Linked DNA regions of Yarrowia lipolytica. The protein of the gene in region 2 purifies or fractionates together with the protein of the main gene of each other region. This does not show direct contact. Links are inferred from orthologs where the notes say so. Each region holds a gene or a part of one and is shown on either strand. Other genes may lie near its edges.

Region 1 (7,090 bases), about 190 kb from region 2:
CTACGCCGCCTCTCTCATGGCCTGTTCCTACACCCTGTTCCTGGCCTCTCTGGCCGGCCACGCTGCCCAGTTTGTGTTCCTATCCATCGTTGAGAATCCTCACATTGAAAAGACTTACAACCCCCATCAGCCCAAGCAGCGACGAAAGGCTTCTCACGTCCGAGACCGATCTTCCATCCAGCTGGGGCTCGATCAGAAACAGAAGGATGAGCTGTCTGCTATTGTTGAGGGCGACGAGTCCGTTTCTATTGCCTCTACTCCCATTTCTACTACTTTTGACGAGCCGGAGACTGTCCAGAAACACTCCCTTCCTCCGTTGGTTGTGTTTAGCAACTTCCAGATCACTCGAGTCACAGATATCATGACTGTGGGAGCTGCAGTCTATACAATGCTGCTCTACTTCCTCCCTGCCAACCGTCTGTGGTACACTGTGACTTTTTTCATGGCTCTGTCTGCTCGTCTTTTCCACACTCTGGGTCTTGGAGTCATACTGCGACGACAGTCCGAGCGACGATCCTTCACCAAGACCTTCCTCAAGTTTGGAATCTACCCCTTTGAGGCATACGAGCAGTGGCAAGTGTGGTACAACGTCTCCACCGTGTTGTCCTACACCACATTTGGTCTCTTTTGCCTGCGACAGTGGAGAGCTCCTTCCACCGATCCTCTGTGGCCCCTTAAGTACATTCTTGGCGCTCTACTTATTGCTCTGCATGGCTGGACATCGAAGTCCATCCATGACTCTCTTGGGCATTTTGGATGGTTCTACGGTGACTTCTTCCTTGACCGAAAGCAGAACCTCACTTACTCCGGCATTTACAGATACCTCAACAACCCAGAGCGATTTTTCGGTATTGCTGGCATCTGGGGTCTTGCTCTGATGACCAACTCTCCAGGTGTTGGTATTTTGGCCTTCTTGTGGACTCTGGAGGGTATGGCATTCATCAAGTTCGTCGAGCAGCCCCACATGCAGCGAATCTACGGTACCAGTATCCGACACGATGCTGGTGTGACCAAGACCATTAAGAACTCTCTCAAGTTGCCTTCTCCCTTTGAGAAACGGGTTCGACAGTTCCAGGGATCCGTTGACAAGGTTATCAACGATACTCTGACTGTGGTCGAGGAGTTCATTGGACTTGCCAAGCCTACTCTCAACGAAGTTGTCAACGACTCCAAGATCCTGTTGCGACAGTACCCTGCCAAACTTACCCTTACTCGAATGCTGGATGTTCCCGAAAACATTGACACTGCCGATTACTCTGTGAAGCTCGTGGGCGGCGAGAAGTGTGCCGATTCCAACCGAATTTCGTACGCCTTTGGAACCCCCATTCATGTCAAGTGGCAGGCTTCTCCCAACAGATCGGCAAAGGACTGGATCGGTCTGTACCGAGTGCACGACAACACTTCCCCTGAGGTGACTTCTCTTCCCTCCAAGGGCCGATGGTCTGGAATCGACGAGACTGGCCATGAGTCGCATCTCGACGGTATTGTGTCGTCTTCTAAGACCAATGGAGAAGTTGTTTTCCGAGGGGACACACTCTTCTGGGAGTGTGGAGTCTACGAGTTCAGATACCACCATGCTGGCAAGCACACTGTGCTCAGCACCTCGGAACCTTTCGAGATTGTGGCTCCTAAGATTGATCTATCTGGAGAGGTGGATGCAAAGACTCTGGCTCTTGAGATCCTCCCCATCGTCCAGCGATGCTTCTCTCTATCTATGGAGTTCCCTCCTGAGGAAGTGGACGACTACTGGGCTCTTGAGGAACCCAAGGTGATCAACAGAGTGCAGGCTGCCGTTCAGGCGTATTTCAACGTTGAGCTGGCGCAGGAGGTGCTTCAATCGGATGAGTCTGTGGAGAATTTGGCTGAGCGACTGCTCAGAATTAGAGACGCCCTTAAAGGTCTTACTGTATAAAGGAGGAGAATGAATATGTATGAATAGATTGAAAATTGTTTGCAGAGAGCATATCTGGAAGAACGTGTGTGTGTGTGTGTGTGTGTGTCAACAAATATCGGATCAAGTGAAGAGCACAAACCAGAGTTGCGAGTGACGTGTAATTCTGGGCCACGGGCTACAGACCTTGACGTAGGGGTCTATAGTAGATAGAATGGTGATGACAGTACATTGATTGACCGCAATTGACACTTACAACTACGTAACATGTAATGTTCAATGCGTTATCTATGTAATATTATGTACCCGTAGTTTGGTTGGTTGTGTTTTAAACGCGACATCAAGCACCCTAGCTGCTGTATGACTCTGTGCACTCCTCCATTCACGTGGTCGGTGAACCATTCTATCGGTGAGGATACTTATGACACCCTCAGTATGTTGTGCCACTAAGTTTTCCACGCATGCTCACAGACTCATTCCAGTCATTCCTTATTGCTCCAACAAAACTCCATGCATGACTCCTCTGATCTCCCGGGCCATCTCCTCGGTCTTGTCGAAAATCTCCTCCATCTGCTTCTCGCTCACGTTACCGCCTTCAATCCACATGCCCACAATCTTCTTGCTTGCTGCCATGTAGGATACTACTCCGTCAATCTCGCTGGTAGGTGCTCTTGAGGGCGACACAGTTGCCTTGTTCTCATCGAGCAGCACACTTCCTGCTGTCACAATATCGGTGCACTCGAGACCGGAATCGGCCAGAGCGGCGCCAGCGCACGAAACTGCGGCAGCCACGGTGGTCTTGGTATTATTGGAAGAAGACAGAACTGATATGCTGACATCGATGGTGGACTTGGGGTACTTCTCGACCAATATGCTGGGCAGGAGAGAGGTGTGGACGTACGATGAAACGTTCTTCTGCAGAGAAGAGCTCTGTGTGGTGCTGGCAGATCGAATGTATTGGGTCAGCTGGGTGGAGCTAACCACAGCACTCTTACTCTCAATATCGCAGAGAGAGACAGGGAGAAATTTTGTGTCCACGTTCAGGATGGCCGATGTTGTGAACAGACCTCTCATAGGTCGAGGACCATGGACAATGGCCACAATTTTGATATCATCCAGCTCCAAGTAGGCCGATCCGTTTGCGTTTTCGACCACTCCGGTCTTGACGAAGATGCTGCCGATATCCAGGCTTTTCTGCTCAACCTCGGTCGGCTTGATGTTGTCCAGGGTGAATGGCACCGCGTCAGCAGGCCCCAAAACTCGTCTTCGGTCAGTCATAGTGTTGTGTGGTTGATAGTGAAACTCACAAATAAATTTCTGCACGATGTTGGTGCAGGCGTGGTTAGCGTTGGGAGCGAAGTTTATTTGGTAGATAGCTAATTACGTAAGCTGCGGGTGACCTGATTTTGATACAGCGTGGTGGTGCTGACTAAAGACTTCTAATACGACAAACATGTAGCAAACGAAGATAGCAAATCAATTGGTAAGCAACTAAAAGGCCCTTATGACTCAACCTTAAACCCAAACCTCCCTTTCTCTATATATAATGTCCTCAATTATTCATTGCTCCACATTATCTCCGTTTACCCTAACCCAACATCAAGGTTGACGACACTTAGTTCCACACGATTCCTTGCCACAGTTCAATCTACACTTACACAACTACCACTTTTGCAATGTCAGACAAGTCAGACAAGATGCAAATCGACAACGCAGGCGAAATTGATGAGTCCCTGTACTCGCGACAGCTCTATGTGCTTGGACACGAGGCCATGAAGAAGATGGCCAACTCCAACGTTCTTATCGTGGGTCTCCAGGGTCTGGGAATTGAGATTGCCAAGAACATTGTTCTGGCTGGAGTCAAGTCGCTGACTCTGTATGACCCCGGCAAGACCGAGGTTGCAGATCTCAGTGCCCAGTTTTTCCTGCGAGAGGACGACGTGGGCAAGCGACGAGACCAGGTGTCTCAGCCTCGACTGGCAGAGCTCAATTCGTACGTTCCTGTGCACGTTTTGGAGGCCAAGGATCTCTCCGAGGAGGAGGTGGCTCGATTCCAGGTGGTTGTGCTGACCAATGCTTCTCTAGAAGAACAGATTCGAGTCAACGAAATCACACACAAGCAGAATATTGGGTTTGTCAGCACAGACACCCGAGGTCTTTTCGGTAACATCTTTGTCGATTTTGGCTCATCTTTTGCTCTGATTGACGCCAACGGAGAGGAGCCCCATTCCGGAATCATTGCCGGTATTGACGAGGAGGGTAACGTTGCTGCTCTCGATGAGACTCGACACAACCTTGAGGATGGAGATTATGTTAAGTTCACTGAGGTCGAGGGTCTCGATATCAACGGTGACACTCCCCGAAAGATCAAGGTCACAGGTCCTTATTCGTTCAATATTGGTTCTGTTGACGGTCTGGGCACCTACAAGAAGGGAGGTCTTTTCACCCAGGTCAAGATGCCCCAGGAGATTTCGTTTGGTTCGCTCAAGGAGCAGCTGGCCAAGCCCGAGTTACTGATTTCCGACTTCGCCAAGATGGAGCGACCCGCACAGCTACATGTCGGCTTCATGGCCGTCCAGGCGTTCCAGCAGAAGCACGGTCGAGCCCCCCGACCTCAGAATACCGAGGACGCCAACGAGGTGCTGCACCTGGCCAAGAGCGTCACTGCAGAGTACCCCGACGTGCTTTCTGGAGGCGAAATCGACGAAAAGCTGCTCACCCAGCTGTCTTTCCAGGCCGCTGGTGAACTGCCCGCCATGACTGCTCTCTTTGGTGGAATGGCTGCCCAGGAGGTACTGAAGGGCTGCTCGGGCAAGTTTGGCCCCATCCGACAGTGGGTCTACTTCGACTCTTTGGAGTCTCTGCCCAAGGACGTGGCTCTAACTGAGCAGTCTGTGGCTCCCACCGGCTCGCGATATGACCGACAGGTTGCCGTCTTTGGTAAGGAGTTCACCGAGAAGATTTTTGCTGTTAAGACTTTCCTGGTTGGCTCTGGAGCCATCGGTTGCGAGATGCTTAAGAACTGGGCTCTCATGGGTCTTGGAAAGGACGGAGAGATCCACGTGACCGATAACGACGTGATTGAGAAGTCCAACCTTAACCGACAGTTTCTGTTCCGACCCAAGGATGTGGGCAAACACAAGTCCGTGACCGCTACCGAGGCTGTGGCAGAGATGAACCCTGATCTCAAGGGCCACTTTGATGCCAAGCTCGACAAGGTCGGTCCCGATACCGAGAACATCTTCGACGACTCGTTCTGGAAGTCTCTGGACTTTGTGACTAACGCTCTGGACAACGTTGACGCCCGAACCTACGTCGATCGACGATGTGTCTTTTTCCAGAAGCCTCTGCTCGAGTCAGGAACCCTGGGAACCAAGGGTAACGTGCAGGTTGTCTACCCCAACCTGACTGAATCGTACTCTTCCTCCCAGGATCCCCCTGAGAAGGGCATTCCCCTCTGTACTCTGCGATCTTTCCCTAATAAGGTTGACCACACGATTGCCTGGGCCAAATCCATCTTCCAGGGCTACTTTACCGACAATGTTGAGTCTGTGAATCTGTTTCTGAGCCAGCCCAATTTTGTGGAGTCCACCCTCAAGCAGACTGGTGACCAGAAGTCTATTCTGGAGAACATCAAGTCGTACCTGGTGGACGAACGACCTACGACTTTCAAGGAGTGTGTCCAGTGGGCCCGTCTGGAGTTTGAGAAGAAGTTCAACGGCGACATTAGTCAGCTTCTGTACAACTTCCCCAAGGACGCCACCACTTCTACTGGTGCTCCTTTCTGGTCTGGACCTAAGCGAGCTCCTGACGCTCTCGAATTTGATTTCAACAACCAGGACCATCTGGATTTTCTCATTGCTGGCGCTAATCTGCGAGCCTTCAACTACGGTATCCGAGGTGATGACCTTGATGTTTCTGAGTACAAGGAAGTTGTGGACAACATGACTGTGCCCAAGTTTGAACCCAAGTCCGGTATTAAGATCCAGGCCAACGAGAACGAGAGCGTCGACCCTGTGGATGCCGACTCCGAGGAGCTGACCCAGCTGGCCAACTCGCTGCCTCCTCCTTCTTCTCTGGCTGGTTTCCGACTCACTCCCGTTGAGTTTGAGAAGGACGATGACACCAACTTCCACATCCAGTTCATCACGGCTGCCTCCAACTGTCGAGCTCAGAACTACGCTATTGACGGCGCTGATCGACACAAGACCAAGTTCATTGCTGGACGAATCATTCCCGCTATTGCTACCACCACTGCTCTGGTGACTGGTCTTGTCTGTCTGGAGCTCTACAAGGTGGTGGACAAGCGAGAGGTGATCGAGGACTACAAGAACGGCTTTGTCAATCTCGCTCTGCCTTTTCTGGGCTTCTCTGAGCCCATTGCTTCGCAGAAGATGGAGATTGCTGGTGTCGAGCTGGACAAGATCTGGGGTCGATACGACATTCACGAGAACTTGACTCTCAAGCAGTTTTTGGAGTTCTTTGAGAAGAACTACAACCTGACGGTGACCATGCTGTCCCAGAACGTGTCTCTCCTGTACGCCTCCTTCTTCCCTCCTGCCAAGCTCAACGAGAAGTACGATTTGACTCTGACCGAGCTGGTGGAGGCCGTCACTAAGAAGAAGCTCGAGCCTCACGTTAAGACTCTGATCTTTGAGGTTTGTGCCGAGGACCAGGACGGTGAGGATGTCGACGATATCCCCTATGTTTGTCTCCATCTTTAGAGAGCTCTTTGGCGATCGTTAGAGGTGTTAGACTATATAATTAATGAGTAGATGAGCTGTATGGAAGCAGTACTACCAATGACTCGGTGGATCAGCAGAGTATGATAAGTACGGTTGTGCAAAAACAAGCGGTGCAATACTGTAGTCTTTCGTAGAACGTGACAGAGAGGTCAAACAAGGACAATGCCAAGTTTGAATTGAAAGTTGGTCAGGCCGTTACTGTCTCTGATTATAAAGGCAGTTTCGTTTCTACTGTGAATAGATGAAATGTTTACTATAGCATGAAGTAAAAATGAGATAGAGCGTGTTTTCAGGCTGCACCAATGGAGAAGAAACTCCTTCTGATGGAGGCCTGTATAAACGTGCGACACGTTCTACTCCCTCTACATAGGCACGTATTCACCAGCGTATAGTGCGTGTAATTTAGTGCTACGAATGCATTAGTCTGGATGTTAGCGACAGCATGACAATGACA
Region 2 (8,663 bases):
TTATAGTCATCGAACCGTCGCTGAGATGAACCACTTCCAGAGTAGGTAGGCTTCGCAGGGTAATCTGCCTGAGAAGTGTATGCCTGGTAACCGGGAGCTTCCTCCTCCTCATGATAATAGAGATTGTCATCTCTGGATGGCTCCAGGTGATCCTCGAGGTGGTCACCAAGGTGTGAAGTCATTGAGAAACGGGTGGTGATAGAATGAAAATGATAATATAAAATGGGCAGAACGCACTTCTGTTATATATACCCCATATTCTCATGTGAGTTTCTTTGGGCCTTATCGTATCATAAAATCTTGACAGCCACAGTGCCGTGCCCAGGTTCATTCGGTTAAGGAGAGTTTCGAGCAAAGCAAGAAGACAGTTAGAGCTCGAAGGCTTGAGCTTGACGTCAGTACAGTAGAGTACAAGTAACAGGGACTTTCTCGGCTATAGTTTGCCAGTGACTTAAGGACACATGCATAGGAAAGGCGACATTCCTTGATGTGGGGATTTGTTTACGTGAGGCTGGCCTCCTTTAACACCACCCTGTTCTCGTTCCACGGTTACCGCAGAATGACATCCTCCACAAAAATAATGATACTGTAGTTAGCTGATCTGTACCTCTTGCTGAGCCCAGTCAAAAGGAAACCAATATAAATACGAGCACTTGTGATATCTCTGCCTTAGATATATAACGTGGTCTTTGTCCAGTATGGAGCTTAGATAGAGTGGCTTGAAAATATCCCGAAGGAGGAGAGAAAGATAACTTCTGATACGGTTCAGTCGCCATCAAGCATGGTTCATATCGTTATCAGTGAAGTCACCATTATTCTGCGAGCAAGAAAGGCTTAAATTAACTAATCAGGTGAGTGATGTAGATACTAACTCCTGGAAATGGAAAAATATTCAATTTCCCACCGCCTTTTGTCTACCGGAAACATGCACATCAATGCCAAGAGGCCAAGAGCTGACATCAAGTCTGGCTCCGATGCAGCCAAGACTCTAAATGAATTGTGGCTCTCTCTCAACTGCCAACTCCACCGAAACCTTCTGACTCCGACCAAGTTAAAGGAAGCTTTACTGCGCCAGACTCTGGTACGGAATGTTGAGGTAATTTGTCTTCAAGATAGGACCTGCAGAGCCCCAGGAAGAATGAGGTGTGAACGGGATTTTCCAAGGTCCTTTAGCTAACCGAGCATGGCAGTAATGACGCAAGATTAGCGAGCATCAAACAACCGTCTCACTTCGAGACAACCAGAACAGGCATAATCTCCCGCTATCATTGGCTGTCAGATCATGCTTCACAGGAAACCTACATGATGGTAGCATCGGCAAGGTGGCATCGAAGACCTTCATGTGCACGCTACCATTTCGAAAAGACATGCCAAGACGAGACACCTCGTACCACCGCTTAGAAGTGAACTGGTAAGACTTTCAAGGACTAGAGAGGTGCATGCGTCTCATGAAATAACTCCTCTAAGGACCTATGCAGGCTCTGATTACCCCTTGTTTTTTGTATAGTTACAATTACTCGTACTTCTGTCTGTACCGGAAGTGCTACAAGTAGTACTACAAGTAGTATGTACTCGTGCTATCGAGACGCATTGAGTTCGGCAGTTAACGGTTCCTTCTGTAAACAAAGAGGATCATGCTTCCCCCGAGTAATTCAGTGGGACCTTCATTGCGTACGCCCTCATTGTTCCAGCGGACCTCAAGAAGAAGTGGATCTCCTCCAAACGCCTATTTTGATAAACCTCAAGGGTTGGTGCTAAACTGGCAGGTTAAATTTCCTGGAACTCTACGGAATTCATTCCCGATAACCGTCGGTTCATGAGATAGCTGGACACCTAATGTTTCAACGGTTGCAAGAGGCTGAAAATTTCATTGGTTTTGATTCGATATGTATTGACAGTACTTATGCGGAACGGGCCGTCCACAATATCTCGCACGAGTTATACATGAACATGGCATACGAATGCTCAGCCTTGAACGAACACTTCGATCGTATTCTCGGTTGCCATTCAATATAGTTCATACGGCTCTAAAGGTGAAAATTACCAAGGCATAAACAAGCCACCCATGCTCGAACGCTACGAATCACATGTCTTGCTCGCACATTCTTCAGGATCTTCCCCACAAACTGAGGGGTATGATGGTATTGCTAGACACAGCTAAAAACAGCATTTAATAATCTCCTGTGGAACCACCCCATTTGAATAGACCCCATGCAGTGCTGCCTGAGATCTTTGTGTACTCCTGAACACCCTTGTCACCGTCAGCAGCTCCTGCTGAGAAGTAGAAGGGAAAGAGATGTTCAGCGGTGGGATGGGCAGCTGGTCGGTGAGGGTTCTTCCAAAGCTCTGAAAGGTTTTCCAGATTTTGCTCATCAGAAACAGGCACACTCGTGACATTCTCTACCACGTCCTTGACAGCATCTTCAAAAGGCTGGGAATACTCGGGCTCTCCACCATCAGCAAACTTACGTCGTTCTCGAAGATTGTGAACTGACATACCGGATCCAATTATCCAATATCCCTCATCTCTCAGAGGTGCGAGTGCCTTGCCGAGGTTGTAGAATCTCTCAGACAGCTGTCGAGGACTCAGATGGTCCACGTCGTCACCTGCAGGTTCTGAAATATTGATGATGGGGAACTTGAGGGCACCTTTTTCCTCACCAGCTTCTTCAAACATAACTCTGGAAGCGACCCACACGCCATGATCCCACTTCTTGTCACTTCTCAATTGGGCATAGTAGCCAGGGGTGTTATCAATAAGTTTGGCGATCTTCTCAGCAGAGGCATGGTTGCCCTTAGCCCAGAACTTCTCCTCATACATGTGGGCTGGGAAATTGAAGAAATCGTATTCGAGGTTGGGGTAGTTGTCGTTTTTGTCAGTCACAATTCCCACGGGAATACCCTTACCATTGACCTTGGGAAACTCGTTGTTACCGGTACCCTTGGGGTTCTCGTCCTGCTGGTTCGCACTTTCCCAGTGGGCCGACATAACAATAACGCCCTTGACAGAGTCGGGATTCTCCTTGTGTTTCTGGATCAGATCTCGTCCAAGATGTCTGAGATAGTCAAAGGCTCCTTTATCTCCTCCAGGGTGATTCTCGTACATGAAGGTGGGGCCTCCATGAGGAATGAAGTAGACAGGTGTGCGGGCCATTTTTCTTGGTATTGTAGAGTCGGATAAGAAGTTGTAACCTCATTAGAGACGAGGTCCTACTAATATATAGTGTTCGTCATAGACGGCCCCAAGCCACAATGAAGCCATGGCCAACATGCCATATGCACGGCGCGAGCTAACCCCACATAAAAGTAGATCGATTACCAATACATGCTCCTGTTGTCGCTATTACTTTTAGAGGGGAATGAAGTTTCGTGTTAATGATCCTAACCAAGAGATAGTGCGGAACCCAGTTACGCTGAGTGGAGGAGTTAACCGATGGAGCATTATTCACGCAAAATTGACCGTGACGTAATTAAAGTGCACGACTTCGAATGAAGTCGTGCACTTGGTCAGATTGATAAAATGCTCAGGCATGAACAACAATGCGATGTTGCTATCAATGTTAACAATCAGATAACCGGGTGCACCAAAGACAACGAATGAACATAGTACTTGTGCGTTCGTACACGCGTCGTCATGCATATGGGCTTCTGGAAAAGGGCTTGACTCAAATTTAGTAAGCTGTGACAAAGGAGGCAGCCTCCTTTCAGGTATTGTAATCACGAATGACTGCTGAGTCGTAAGACACCGGTGATATTAGGCAATGGGCCGCTAATGTTTAAGAACAATATATCCAGGGTGTGATACACGGTTACGATAGCCAAGCCCGTACTATCTCTACAGTGGTTACTCCATTTATGGTGTCGTCTGTAGTTCACTGTATAATCGCCTCCTGCCCATACAAATGCAGTATCGATATGAAGGAGTCCAAATAGGGCACTTGTAATTATTCGACGTGTTTGAGCCAAAAGCCCTCAATAACAATCTGCCGCAATTAGCCGGGGTCTGTCACACTTGGTGTCTTCGCCACCTTCGCGATACCACCCTCGTCACCTTTTTTGACTTATATTATAAGCTCTCAGATATTGCTCGTGGCGATCATGCACAAATCTGAAGTACAGTACATACACTTATACATGTGGCTTCAAGTGATGATGCCGTTGATGATTACGCTCCTTGATTTTATGTAACGTCCACCGTTTGAGATATATTGAAAACATATTCGCTGGTAACCTCTTTCTACCTGTAGTGTTGCTCTGTGCACGATAGCTGTGTCCTGTTGGATGAAATAGTTTCAGTATCAAACTCCGTGTTTCTTTACTGTAGTTGTAGGGTTAGGACCCCTTAGTCATGCATGCCATTTCCATCACATATCGTGCAGAACAGGAGGATTTGACTTGATTTACGCCATCTTCACTCATTACGCCGAGAGGAAGAGCGAAAAGCCTTACAACAAGTAACGGGCGGTTAACACAACGTGGCAAACACTCAACATAAAAGCATTTGATTAGGAAGTTGACGTGACACAGAAAATGGCAAACGACAAAGACCAAGATGGGTTCTTTCCCAAGTATCAGCAGCCCTCATTTGTCCTGCGCATGTGGGGCAAACTGGTACCCGCGGCCGATAACAAATATGCACTTACCATTGTATGTGCTGCTCAGATGGGTGTGGGCGTCTTGCTGCTAGCCTATCCGCGGAGATCAACTTTCAGGGCCAAATACGGAAAGTGGCCATACAGAGCAGTCAAGGCTACAGGCATCCTCACTGGATCAGCACTCATCGGCTGCACCGCAATATTTGATTTGGCACGCACGAGAAACCTCACATACGACCCCTGGGCCCAGCGAGCTCGTGCAGACCGAGTCAAGGCTCTGAAGGAAGGCAAAAAGGTTACATGGTGGTGGGGAGCTCACGATCACAAGCCTGTGGGTATGAACGAATACATGTCCGAGCTACGGGTTCTCTTGGAGATTAAGAAGATGCAATACAACAAGAAGAAGCTGGCGGATGTCGCTGAGAGTGGTTTCAAGCCCACAGAGCCTCTCCTCTCGTCTGATCTCTACATGGACGATATTTTGTGGAAGTACGTGCTGCCTCGAGTTTTCCCCGATGAGGTTCCCATATCCCCCATCTCTCGAAAACTTACAGAGGCCATGTTCCAGTCTCTGGGTCTCACATATGAGGAGCTGGTGGCTGCAAACCGAAAGTTCCGAGAAGGAGTGCTGGAGCAGGTAGAGAATCCTCTGTTTCTTGCACACCGGCCATGGCTGTTTGGAAGCTCTAGCAGCATGGATGCAGCCATCAAGGAGGTTCTTGGAGAGGGGTCCAACGACCCAGATATCCTGGAAGGTCTCTACAATGACATTGCAGAACAATGGGATGGATCCATCATGTGGGGCATCATTGCAGGAGAGACAGATGTGACCATTCGTCTGATTCCTGGAACCGATATCGTGGAGCTGGTGGAGGAGGCTGAAGATGAAGAATAGATAACTGGGTCGTTTGTATGAGCACCCATTGTACATAAAAGATTCGGTATAGACAATCTAGCTAGACGACCTACAAGTAATACAAGTATGCACGTCGTAGAACAGCACAAGCAGTATAGTAGAGAGAGATTTCGGTGGTTGCACCAAAGAGACTGACAAAAAATAAAAAAAATCCGCTCGTCGAATAGAGTAGGACGGATAAGAGAATACCTGTCTATCACTTCACCATATCCGCTGGACCCTCCAACTTCAAGTATAGTATGTACCGTATTACTACCCGATTTGTGTTAGCTAGCCCTAAACCTAATCGTAAATTATTTCTCTGTATATGCATCAATTTTCCAACAGCCTATTCCCAGTCCATTCCCATCACCACAACACATACAAGATGGAAATCGATAGTGTTGTGCGACTGGCCCAACAGACTGCCAAGGCTGCCCGTGGTCTTGCTTCGCACGACATCAAGTTCTACAGCTCTATTGATGACAAGGTGGCCGACAGCGTGAAGGAGAATGCATCACAGCTCATTGGAGTGGTCAACCAGCTGGCCCAGAAGATTGCCCCGAACGAAGTGGGATCTTTTCCTCCCGAGCTCGACACTGTGAACCGACACTGGAATGAGTTCTCGTCTGTTGTCGATGACCTGTACGAGAAAACCGACATTCAGCTCGGAAAGCTGAACAAAAAGGGAGACAAGGTTGAGATTGCCGAGTCCAAGAAGACTGGCCCTCAGACGCTCGGAGAGAAGATCCGAGTAGGAAATGCCATTCAGTCATCTAGCGAGATCAAGGGGCCGCAATGGAAGCCCCAGGAGATGTGGGAGGTCGACAATTCGAGAGACACTCCCTTCAAACCCAAACTCACCTCGAAACCAAATGCTCTGGAGCCCCTAGAGGACGCGTTCGAATTGGTGACTGAAGATGACAGACGAGATCACTACCCACAGCCCTACGCCAAGGAGATAATGGAGCAGCCCTACCCAGATGAGGTGTACGAGGAGACAGAGGTCATTCCTAACCGACCATGGGAGGCTGAAGGAGAGGATGAATACATCTACGTTGACACAGAGGAGAAACTCAGAGACATGGTTGACCACCTGAAGACCCAGGAGGAGATAGCCATCGATGTCGAACATCATTCCATGCGAACATACTACGGCATCACATGTCTTGTGCAGGTTTCCTCTCGGGAGCAAGATTACATCATCGACACCATCGCTCTCCGAAACCTCGAGATCTTCAATGAGGTTTTGACTGACCCCAAGATTGTCAAGGTTTTGCATGGAGCCACTATGGATATTCAGTGGCTCCAAAGAGATTTCGGTCTGTACATTGTGTCTCTGTTCGACACCTTCCATGCCGCCCAGGCCCTTGGCCTCAAGGGACACAGTTTAGCGTTCCTTCTCCAGCATTACGCCAACTTCGTCACTTCTAAGAAGTACCAACTCAGTGACTGGCGAATTCGACCTATGTCGCCTGAGCAGCTTCTCTACGCCCGAGCAGATACCCACTTCCTGCTCAACATCTACGATCAGCTGAAGAATGCGCTCGTGCAGAAGGACAAGATCGAGGGAGTTTTGGAAAAGAGCAGACAGACTGCTTCCCAGAGGTATGAGTACACCGGCTACGACCCAAGGTACTATCTCAAGTCGTTCGACTACGAGGGAGGTATCAATCGTCTCATTTCTCAGTTCCACATCACTGGGCCTAGTGTCTCAGTCGCCAAGGCTCTTTTCTTGTGGAGAGACAGCATGGCTCGAAAGGAGGACGAGTCTACTGGCTACGTGATGCCTAACTATCTGCTCGTTTCACTTGCCAACCGAATGCCTCAAACGCCCGAGGCTGTGTTCAGTGTATCCAAGTCTCTCCCGCTTCTTGTTCGAAAAAACGTTGAGGAGATTCTGGACGTCATCAAGGATTCCAAGGACGAGCATGTTGAGGTAGAGCAGGTTGAGGAGGAGCCCGTCCTCGCTGCCGAGTCTATTGAGGGGGCAGAGTTTTCTGAAATCGCAGAGGTCATCTTCCTGGCAGCCCAGGACGGACAGTCAGATATCACAGGCAAATTCGACTCTTCCAAGTCGTCTATTGTACATGTAAAGGAGACTGCTCTAGGTCCTCTTGGTGTTTCCAAGATTGATAAGCATATGATGGTTTTGGCGGTTCCCGTCGCACCCCTATCTGTTGACTCTACTGAATCTGATAGCGAAGTCCAGAACGCTGAGGAGGAGGTCAAGGTTGAGCAGGATGCCGCTGCTGACGACGAGTCTGATTACTCTGAAGATGAGCACGAGCATGCCAATGATATCATTATTGCCAAGTCTAACAAGAAGTACACAGCTGACAAGGAGGCTAAGAAGGGAGTAGCAAAGGAGAAGTCCGAGGAGTTCACTCCGTTTGACTACTCTGCTGGTGCTTCTATTCTCAAGTCCGACGATCAGAAGGCCGCCGAGAAGAAGGCTGCCATGACTGCCCGAAAACAGAAGGCCAAGGAGAAGAAACAGTTTAACCCCTACGAAATAAAGGAGGATGCCAAGGGTGCTTCTAAGCGACGAGGACCCAAGGATGGAGGTGCTCGATCAGTCCAGTACAAGAAACGGCGTACATAGGCAACAAACAACTTAAAGTACTCATGGAGTATTAAAATATATAGATTGTAATATACGGTGGATTTGATGTCATGTTTTTAAAGTGGGTGAGAGAAATATCAATGTTCGTAGCCCTTGTGCTTGTCCCAAGTTGGCCAGGGGTGTAATAAACAGAATAAACAGCCCCTACAAGTAGTCATTATGAGATGGCCTGTAAAATAATTCAAAACCCCACTTACAGTACATACGGTAATTACAGTGGGTGCTTGTTAAAGGAAACAACTGTTGTAGGGGGTCGCGAGAGCTCCATGTCTGCCGGGACTACCATGGCGACATGTTTGACTTTCAGATGGTTTCATTGTTACATTTCTAAAATGCAACGGCTTGCAACTTTACTTGCCATTGGTTTTTCTACTGTTTCAGATTCTTCTGGTGATTCCTCTACAAAACCATTCTCGTCGTAGATAAACCTCTAGTATCGCTATTCCAGCGGTTGTTGAGTTGTCCAGACAAAACTGTGGCCAATCAAAGGGTCCATTACTAACCGTGCTGCACCTTAACTCACTTTCGCTTGGTCGTTTTGCCACTG
Region 3 (7,192 bases), on a different chromosome or scaffold from region 2:
ACCTCGAAGATCATCTCTGCGCCAATGAGCTCCTTGCAGGTGGCGGCGATCCACTTCTCTAACTTGGCCACCTGTGATGCTAAAATGTTTTTGGGGTTTTTGATGCGAATAACAGGGACCGTTTTGGGGTAGGTACTCGTGAGCTCGACCTGGAGCGTTAAACTGGATAGGGCATCTTCGGCGTCCGGGTCGGTCGATCGCATGTGAATCTCAAATGATGGCGAAGGCGTTTTCTATGTTAGCGTCACTGGTTCACTTATTCATCCCTCATTCTTGGATACAAGTACTCACGTTCCATGCAGATGACTTTGTGGTGTCAACAAAATCGTCCATGTAGATGGCCTTCAAAGCCTCCGCCTCGTTTTCTTGCAGTTCCTGTAACTCCATCTGGTCTATCCAAACGGAAGACACCAGGCATGTGTTTTCAAAGACGGTTAGTTGGTAAGTTTGTTCTGAGCGTTGCCAAATGCTTATGCCAGACGACTATTATTTTGAATTGGGTTTGTTGAGCCGCACGATGTCACGTGTGTAGGGTGGATCCGGAGGAACTAAAAGTCGGAGTAATGGCGGTGTTCAATACGTTGTTTGAGAGATTTCAAAGACCAGATATGTTTATTATATCTGCTTAAGTTGATTCTCTTACTGATAGACCACTTACACTTCCCGTATGAAAAACTTACACCGTTTCTGTATTTACTCCCCCATACTGTCGTTTAGATCTACTGTAGAACTTAAACTGACGCACCCCCCTCTTGCTGGATATATATGCAGAAAAAAAAAAAAATAACGCCACTATCATTATCGGTCATATCAGGCGGTTTTCAAAAGACAAAAAAAGGGGTGGGGGAGGGAAAATAACAATGAAATGATCGTGAGCTGTAAATTGACGGTACTCGATAACCCAAATTCGACGGTGTCGCCATGACAAACACGCCTAGTCCCCTCCGAAGCTGAGGCATTTGTGTTCACCTCCTTTCTCACCTGTATTTCGTTATCGAGATTTCAAGTACTTGGAGCTACTTTTGGACCGTGCATACTTCACCAAACTACAACTACAATGCAAGTACAGGTAGCATTATGTACATACTGTACTCGGACCGTTACTCGTACCGACACTGTGTGTAGGGTTACGTCGTATACACGCTAACTAAGGAAAAGATCGAGATATTGGGTAATCCTACTTTGTTTAGTCTCTACACGGGCAACTTCTGGGGTCGTTTATTGTCCTATTCTCTTGGAAGGAGACGCTACTTGTTCTTCGTTCAGATCTAAGCACTGTCATCAGCCATACGAGCAGTCTAAGAAACTACTGTAGTTATACTAACGAGGTTGATGAATTCAGTAGACACCGGCGACTATTGAGTCTCATATCTTTTATTACTCGTCCATGTACTTTGATCTCCCTCACAATTTTCTCCCTCAGTTCCACCGAAGGTTGAAGTTGAGCTGCATCCTTGCATAAAGATACAGATCGAGAAATATCCCAACAGGATGATGTACAGTAATGTTCAGTACAAGGACTGGTACAAGTACATGATGTAGTCGGTTATATTACTTCATGAACGTCAGAGCAAGCCTCAAGATCTTCGTTCATCCACTGCCAGTACAGTAGGAGTAGAGGTAACTACTTGCATACATACCTCTCTACATACTGTAGAGGTAGGTATGACCAACCAATGACAAGCACTTAGCCTAAAAAAAGAACACTACAAAAAAATTGCAGCACCTACTGTAGGATTCTCGTATGGTCTCCCACTACAATACTAACTAGGCTCTCTGGTGCTTGACTATGGCTGATCGGACGGGAAGCCGTATTTTCACCAGGATATGGCTGCAACTGGCCGGTAACTCGGCTGCTTAGTCACCGTTGCAAGGTCATTGTGTAACCTTGGGAAATGTAGAATAAAAATAAAAAAACTAGTAATGGATCATAAGAATAAAACAAAAAGCTATACTTGTACCTGAATGACTAGATTATACAGTTATGTGTTCCCTCGATTTTACCAACCATGGATTCATTATATTTCATTTTTATTAGTCTAAAATGTGCTTAAAGCTCATGATCGTAAGGGATACCCTCAGCAGCACCTCGTCGAGTGACAGCAATACCACCAGCCTTGTTTCCGAAAGCAATGGCCTCGGAGACTGTCTTTCCCTGGATAATGCTAGTGGAGAAACCTCCAAGGAAAGTGTCTCCAGCACCAGTAGTATCGACAATCTTCTCGACCTTGTTAGAAGGAACATGTCCAGAATCAGTCTTGGTCTTGTAAATGACACCGTTACCTCCCAGAGTGACAACAACGGCCTCCTTGATTCCCATCTTGAACAGGGTATCCGCAGCTTGGTCAGCTTGTTTCCAGATCTCCTCCTTCGATGCCTCCTCGTTGATTTCGACGCCAGAGATGAGAGTGGCTTCCGTCACATTGACCACGAGGAAATCTATGCTGTTGAGAACGGCGGCGGGGATGTTACCTCGCTCGTCCACAGGACTGGGGTTGTAGACCACTTTGGGCTTCTTAGATCCAGCCTTCTCGATGGCCTTGTAGACGATGTCGATGGGGATCTCGTTCTGGAAGATGAGCATGTCTGTGTCGAAGAGATCGTCAGTGAGATCGGCCTCAGTCCACTCGCCGTTGGCTCCGGCGTAGACCATGATTCGGTTCTCTCCAGAGTCTTGATCCACAAAGATGACAGCCACTCCAGACTTGGTGTCGAGCTCGTGGATGGCAGACACGTCCACGCCAGAATCCTTGAGGTTGTTTTTCAACTGAGTACCGAAGTTGTCTTTGCCGACCTTTCCGTACATCTTGACGTTCACATCAGGGACCTTGGAAGAGAGTCTGGCAGTAGCAAGAGCCTGGTTGGCTCCCTTACCTCCGCAGTGGGTCTCAAAGCCCTGGGAGAACATGGTCTCCCCAGCGTTGGGGAGTCTGTTGGAGATGGTGACAAGATCGTAGTTGAGCGAGCCGACAATTGTGATTTGCATGGTTGGTGATTTGGGGTCAGAAAGAGAGTTGTAGTTAAAGATAGGTGTTTAAATGAAATGTTTTTCCGAGAGTGAGCAAGGACCAAACTCAGGGATGCAGATGAGATGTGAGTGATGGAGGTTTAAAGTCTAAAATAGCACAGAGAGGGAAGAGTGACATCATAGGGTGCGAGCTGGAAAAAAAAATCAGAACATTTGGTTACTTGAGCGTTCTAACGTTGCAATATAAGACAGGTGATTCTATAAGTACATGTTAAGTCACGCCATGCACCCCACATTCTGTACAAGTATGTACATCCGTAACCGGCAGCCCATCGCTGGTCACTCCCAATAGCCGAGGAGTCATGCGATCACGTGGCTGTTTGAACATGAGAGTGACAATGTTGTCGTTCAAGGTATGAAATAGAGATGCCAGATATCCAGACCGGGCCCAAAAAGAACTGTAACAGCTACCGCCCTTGTCTTTATATTTCATAAGTGTCCTTTTTTTGCATAAGAGTCCAACGATGATGGCCCTAGACGTTCAAACTAAAATCCCACAAGTTTCAACTACTTCTTTCAAGGTTACTTGGAAAAGGTATTGTAATAATGGAGATATCTGAGAGCAGATTTCGAGTTTTTTGTTGTTGTTTTTTTTGAATAGACACATTCCAAGCACCCTCGATATTTTTATATTTTTTTGATCTCGGTTCTTCCGTTTCAATGTCAATATTATAACCATCATGTTGTTCAGTATGTACAGTATGTACACCCCTCACCTACACATGACGAGCCACAACTAAGTTTACGTCGAAAATATATTTCGTATCATGCACAACGCCTGAAGAATCTTTAATTTACACTGAACGACACACAACATGACGAATATGGAGCCAATCACATACCCTTCGGAGGTATTTTCGAGACTTGTGCCCGATCTATATCTACACAGACATCTCAACCAAGGATTGCGACCAGCTACAAACCGAGCCTTCACACAACACCGAAAGATCAACCACTTTTTGGGCGGTCTTAAGAAGCCCGTGGGATCCGACGAAAAGTCTGCGTCTCTGGTTTGGGGCTCTTCGTTGATCCAGGCCGATGGAATGAGTATTGTGTGTGGTGTTACCGGATCTGTGTCTGAGGAAGAGGGCGGAATCTTTGTTAACGTCGAGGTTCTGCGAGGAGCAAACGGAAGCAGTGCAGCAATGGGGGGGCCTCCCAGCGACGAGGAGCAGGTGGTGAGCCGAAAGACTACCGATCTGCTCAAAAAGGGCATTTTCTCCTGCAAGGCAAACAAACAATTCTTCGAGCTCCAGAACTTTCTGAAGGAGGGACAGGAAGACGAGGCCGTGTTTGACGCTGGCCAGCACCAGAAGCGATACCTGTGTTTGCATGCCAATGTGACTGTCCTGAGTCGTAACGGACCTGTGCAGGACTACGTATGGGCTGCTGTTCTGGCTGCTCTGAAGGATACAGAGATTCCTCTGATGGAGATTGATGAAGATACCGGACGAATCACTCTCACCCACGACTTTACCACAATTCCGGTCGACGACCTTGACATTCACAGCAGTCGGTCGTTCGGGTTCATCAAACCCAAGCCAGAGACTGATGCCTACGAAGACGACGAGATGGACACCTCTGAAGATGCTGCCAGTGTGCTGTTAGCAGATGTCCAAGGAGAGGTTGAGCAGGCTGCCACTTCCAGCACCCGTGAGGGCTCTCGGCTGCAGATTGTGCGTGGCCGGGAAGACACGCTTATTGGATTTTCTTTTGTGGGCAAGGGTACTGGAGTTGGACTCAACGAGATTAAGAACGCGTTGGATCTGTCGAAGCAAGAGTAGATGGATATAAGCATGTATAGACTAATTGGCGGAACTAATGGTACTATTGTATTGTGCTTGTGCTACATGTAGAAGAAGTCTATAGAATAGCATACGAGTGCAAACACTCGCGGATACAGTACTTGTTTTAGACATGATAAAAATACATTACTGGTGCTATCAATTGAGGTATCCCTTGCAGCCAGGTGCGCCACACAGACAGGGAATCCTCTCTTCTCCAATCTCCTTTTCGAACTTGTAGTCATATGTGAGCTCCTCGTTGGCAGCAATGTCCCGCGAGGCATAGATGACGATACGTTTTTGACCCTCCACCTTGATGATTTTGGCCGTGCAGCTGGGGGTACAGCAATGGTTGATGAACCGAGCAATACCTCCTCGCTTTGTGGCGTCCACGACAGTGCTTTCATCAACTCTGAACAGATATGAAGATCCGATACCTGACCTCATGTACCGAGCTTCTCGCAAGTCGGCAATCTCCTGTCGCACAACTTCTCCGACGTACTCGATGATCATCTCGTTGGCTGCAATGGGCTCAATAGCATAGAGACCCCAGTTGTGGATAGCTGAACGAGCGAACTTGACAGGCTTCTTTCGCTTTCGCAGCTGATTGAAGTTGAGCACATCGGTTTCGGTGGACAGCAGCTGTTTCTGCATGTTGATGTCTGCCACCAGCCTCCGGTTGTTGGCACGGTTAACTCGCGAGTTGGAGGCGTTCTCCTTCTTTTTCTCTCGGTTTTCCATTTGAAGCGTGTCGATGGGGATGTTGAGCTTCTTTCGGTGAGGCAGGTATTCGGATTTGGCAGCCTCAGGGATCTTGAAGTATCCCTGAGACTTCCATGAGCCAGTGGAGTTAACAAACGCGTTGGGAGCAGCCAGTTCGGGGAACTCTGCGTTTTCCTTGGCTACAGCCTCGTTGAGATGTTTATGGGTCCACGTCCATGCTTCTCCGTTGATCTTTTCAGGCTCAATACCCTCCAGGGCCTCCTGGAGCAACTCCATATCTTCGTCGTCCTTAACCAGCGCCTGGAAACCTGATATGGTAGTCAGAGCACCACCCTTTTTGTCGGCTGTTACAGGTTGAGGGAAACCGTGAGCAGGAGCCCAGTCGAGAATCTCGCCGAATGCAGTTGTAAGTTGTTGGGAAGTATCGAGAGTCGATGCTTCTTGGAGTTCCTCCTGCGCAGTTTCGTCCTCTTCTTCTTCCATATCATCCTCCACTTCCTCCTCTTCCTCGGACTCATTCGAGCCTTCAGAACTGCTGAAGTCCATAATTCGCTGCTTGGACTGACTGATCTTCTTGCGGGGTTTTCTAATAGGAAGTTCGGCAGCGTCAGCGGAGGTATCAGGGACAATGGGAGTCGACATTCGAGTGCTGTCTTCCTCATCCGAGTAGTAGTCGTTGAGAACGTGGTTCATGGGACGAGCAGATATCTTCTTTCGGTTCTTCTTGGTGGCATCCTTCTTCTTGGTCGGATCACCCTTTCGCTTGATTTTGAACCGAGGAAGGAAACCTGGGATCGCAGAAGACGATTGCACAGGCTCGGGAGTATCTACTCGAGCGGCACTGGCGTTAACAGTGTTGGGTTCAGTAGCGGCAGATGGCTCAGGATCCTGCTTGATATGAGTAAATCGAGCTGGATTCAGAAACTCCACAATGGCTGCAGCAATTACCCGCTCCCGAATATCCTTACGGAGACTATTGGCCAACTCCTGTACGATGAGTTTCCGGGCCTCTTCCTTAGGAGGGAGCTTGGGGGCCTGCTCGGTGGCGTTTTCCTCGCTCTCTTTGGTCTTGGGAGCAACTCGAGAAAGTCGAATCATAGCCATAGCCATCTGGTGGCCATTCACCTTTCTGCCATTCATGGCCTCGTAACATTCTACAGTATCCCTGTTGTTGTCGAAGAAAACGTAGAAACCATCTCCTTCCTTGAGAACATCAAACCAGCCGAAGTCACGCAGAATCCGACGAATATCAGATGCAAACACTTTTTCTGACGGTAGGTACTTACCAGCAATGAAGATGTATGCGCTGGTTTTCATCAACTGCGCTGCCTTTGGAGATGGCCGAGCTGAAGGAACAGGTGTGGGCAGTTTCTCCATGATGGACTTGTCTGCAGCAGGTGCAGTAGGAGGCTGCTTGACAGGCATGGCTTTCTTAGCTGCTCGAGCTGCCACTCTTTTGATGATATCCTTGGCCTTGGCTCCATCCTCATCTGGCTCCACTCTGTACTTGGCCTGGTCAATTCGTCCTGTTTTTTGGCCTCGGATGGCCTTTTTGAGGCACTCATGGGCGGCCTCGTAATTGTTTTTCGTCACCTTGAATCGAACCAGACATGCTCCCACTGAAGAACCTGTAGCAGGGTCCTCTACCATGTTGACG

What was found.
Region 1: the proteins of YALI1_E05390g (region 2) and YALI1_E07306g purify together in Saccharomyces cerevisiae (affinity purification with mass spectrometry; 9 studies listed by BioGRID, with this or other methods). This does not show direct contact. The link is inferred for Yarrowia lipolytica from reciprocal best matches to the Saccharomyces cerevisiae genes RRP6 and MTR3.
Region 3: the proteins of YALI1_E05390g (region 2) and YALI1_B19567g purify together in Saccharomyces cerevisiae (affinity purification with mass spectrometry; 11 studies listed by BioGRID, with this or other methods). This does not show direct contact. The link is inferred for Yarrowia lipolytica from reciprocal best matches to the Saccharomyces cerevisiae genes RRP6 and RRP43.

The regions. Positions count from the first base shown.
Region 1 is NC_090774.1:726,739-733,828, reverse strand, and holds YALI1_E07306g (uncharacterized protein), read right to left. Parts: upstream 3,170-7,090; coding exon 2,381-3,169; downstream 1-2,380. Other genes in the region: YALI1_E07347g (uncharacterized protein), read left to right, coding at 1-1,912; YALI1_E07302g (uncharacterized protein), read left to right, coding at 3,568-6,615.
Region 2 is NC_090774.1:536,183-544,845, reverse strand, and holds YALI1_E05390g (uncharacterized protein), read left to right. Parts: upstream 1-5,818; coding exon 5,819-8,095; downstream 8,096-8,663. Other genes in the region: YALI1_E05446g (uncharacterized protein), read right to left, coding at 1-182; YALI1_E05416g (uncharacterized protein), read right to left, coding at 2,171-3,154; YALI1_E05403g (uncharacterized protein), read left to right, coding at 4,531-5,490. UniProt on the Saccharomyces cerevisiae protein: Nuclear-specific catalytic component of the RNA exosome complex which has 3'->5' exoribonuclease activity and participates in a multitude of cellular RNA processing and degradation events.
Region 3 is NC_090771.1:1,953,421-1,960,612, reverse strand, and holds YALI1_B19567g (uncharacterized protein), read left to right. Parts: upstream 1-3,843; coding exon 3,844-4,812; downstream 4,813-7,192. Other genes in the region: YALI1_B19602g (uncharacterized protein), read right to left, coding at 1-233, 292-387; YALI1_B19576g (uncharacterized protein), read right to left, coding at 2,051-2,986; YALI1_B19520g (uncharacterized protein), read right to left, coding at 4,972-7,192.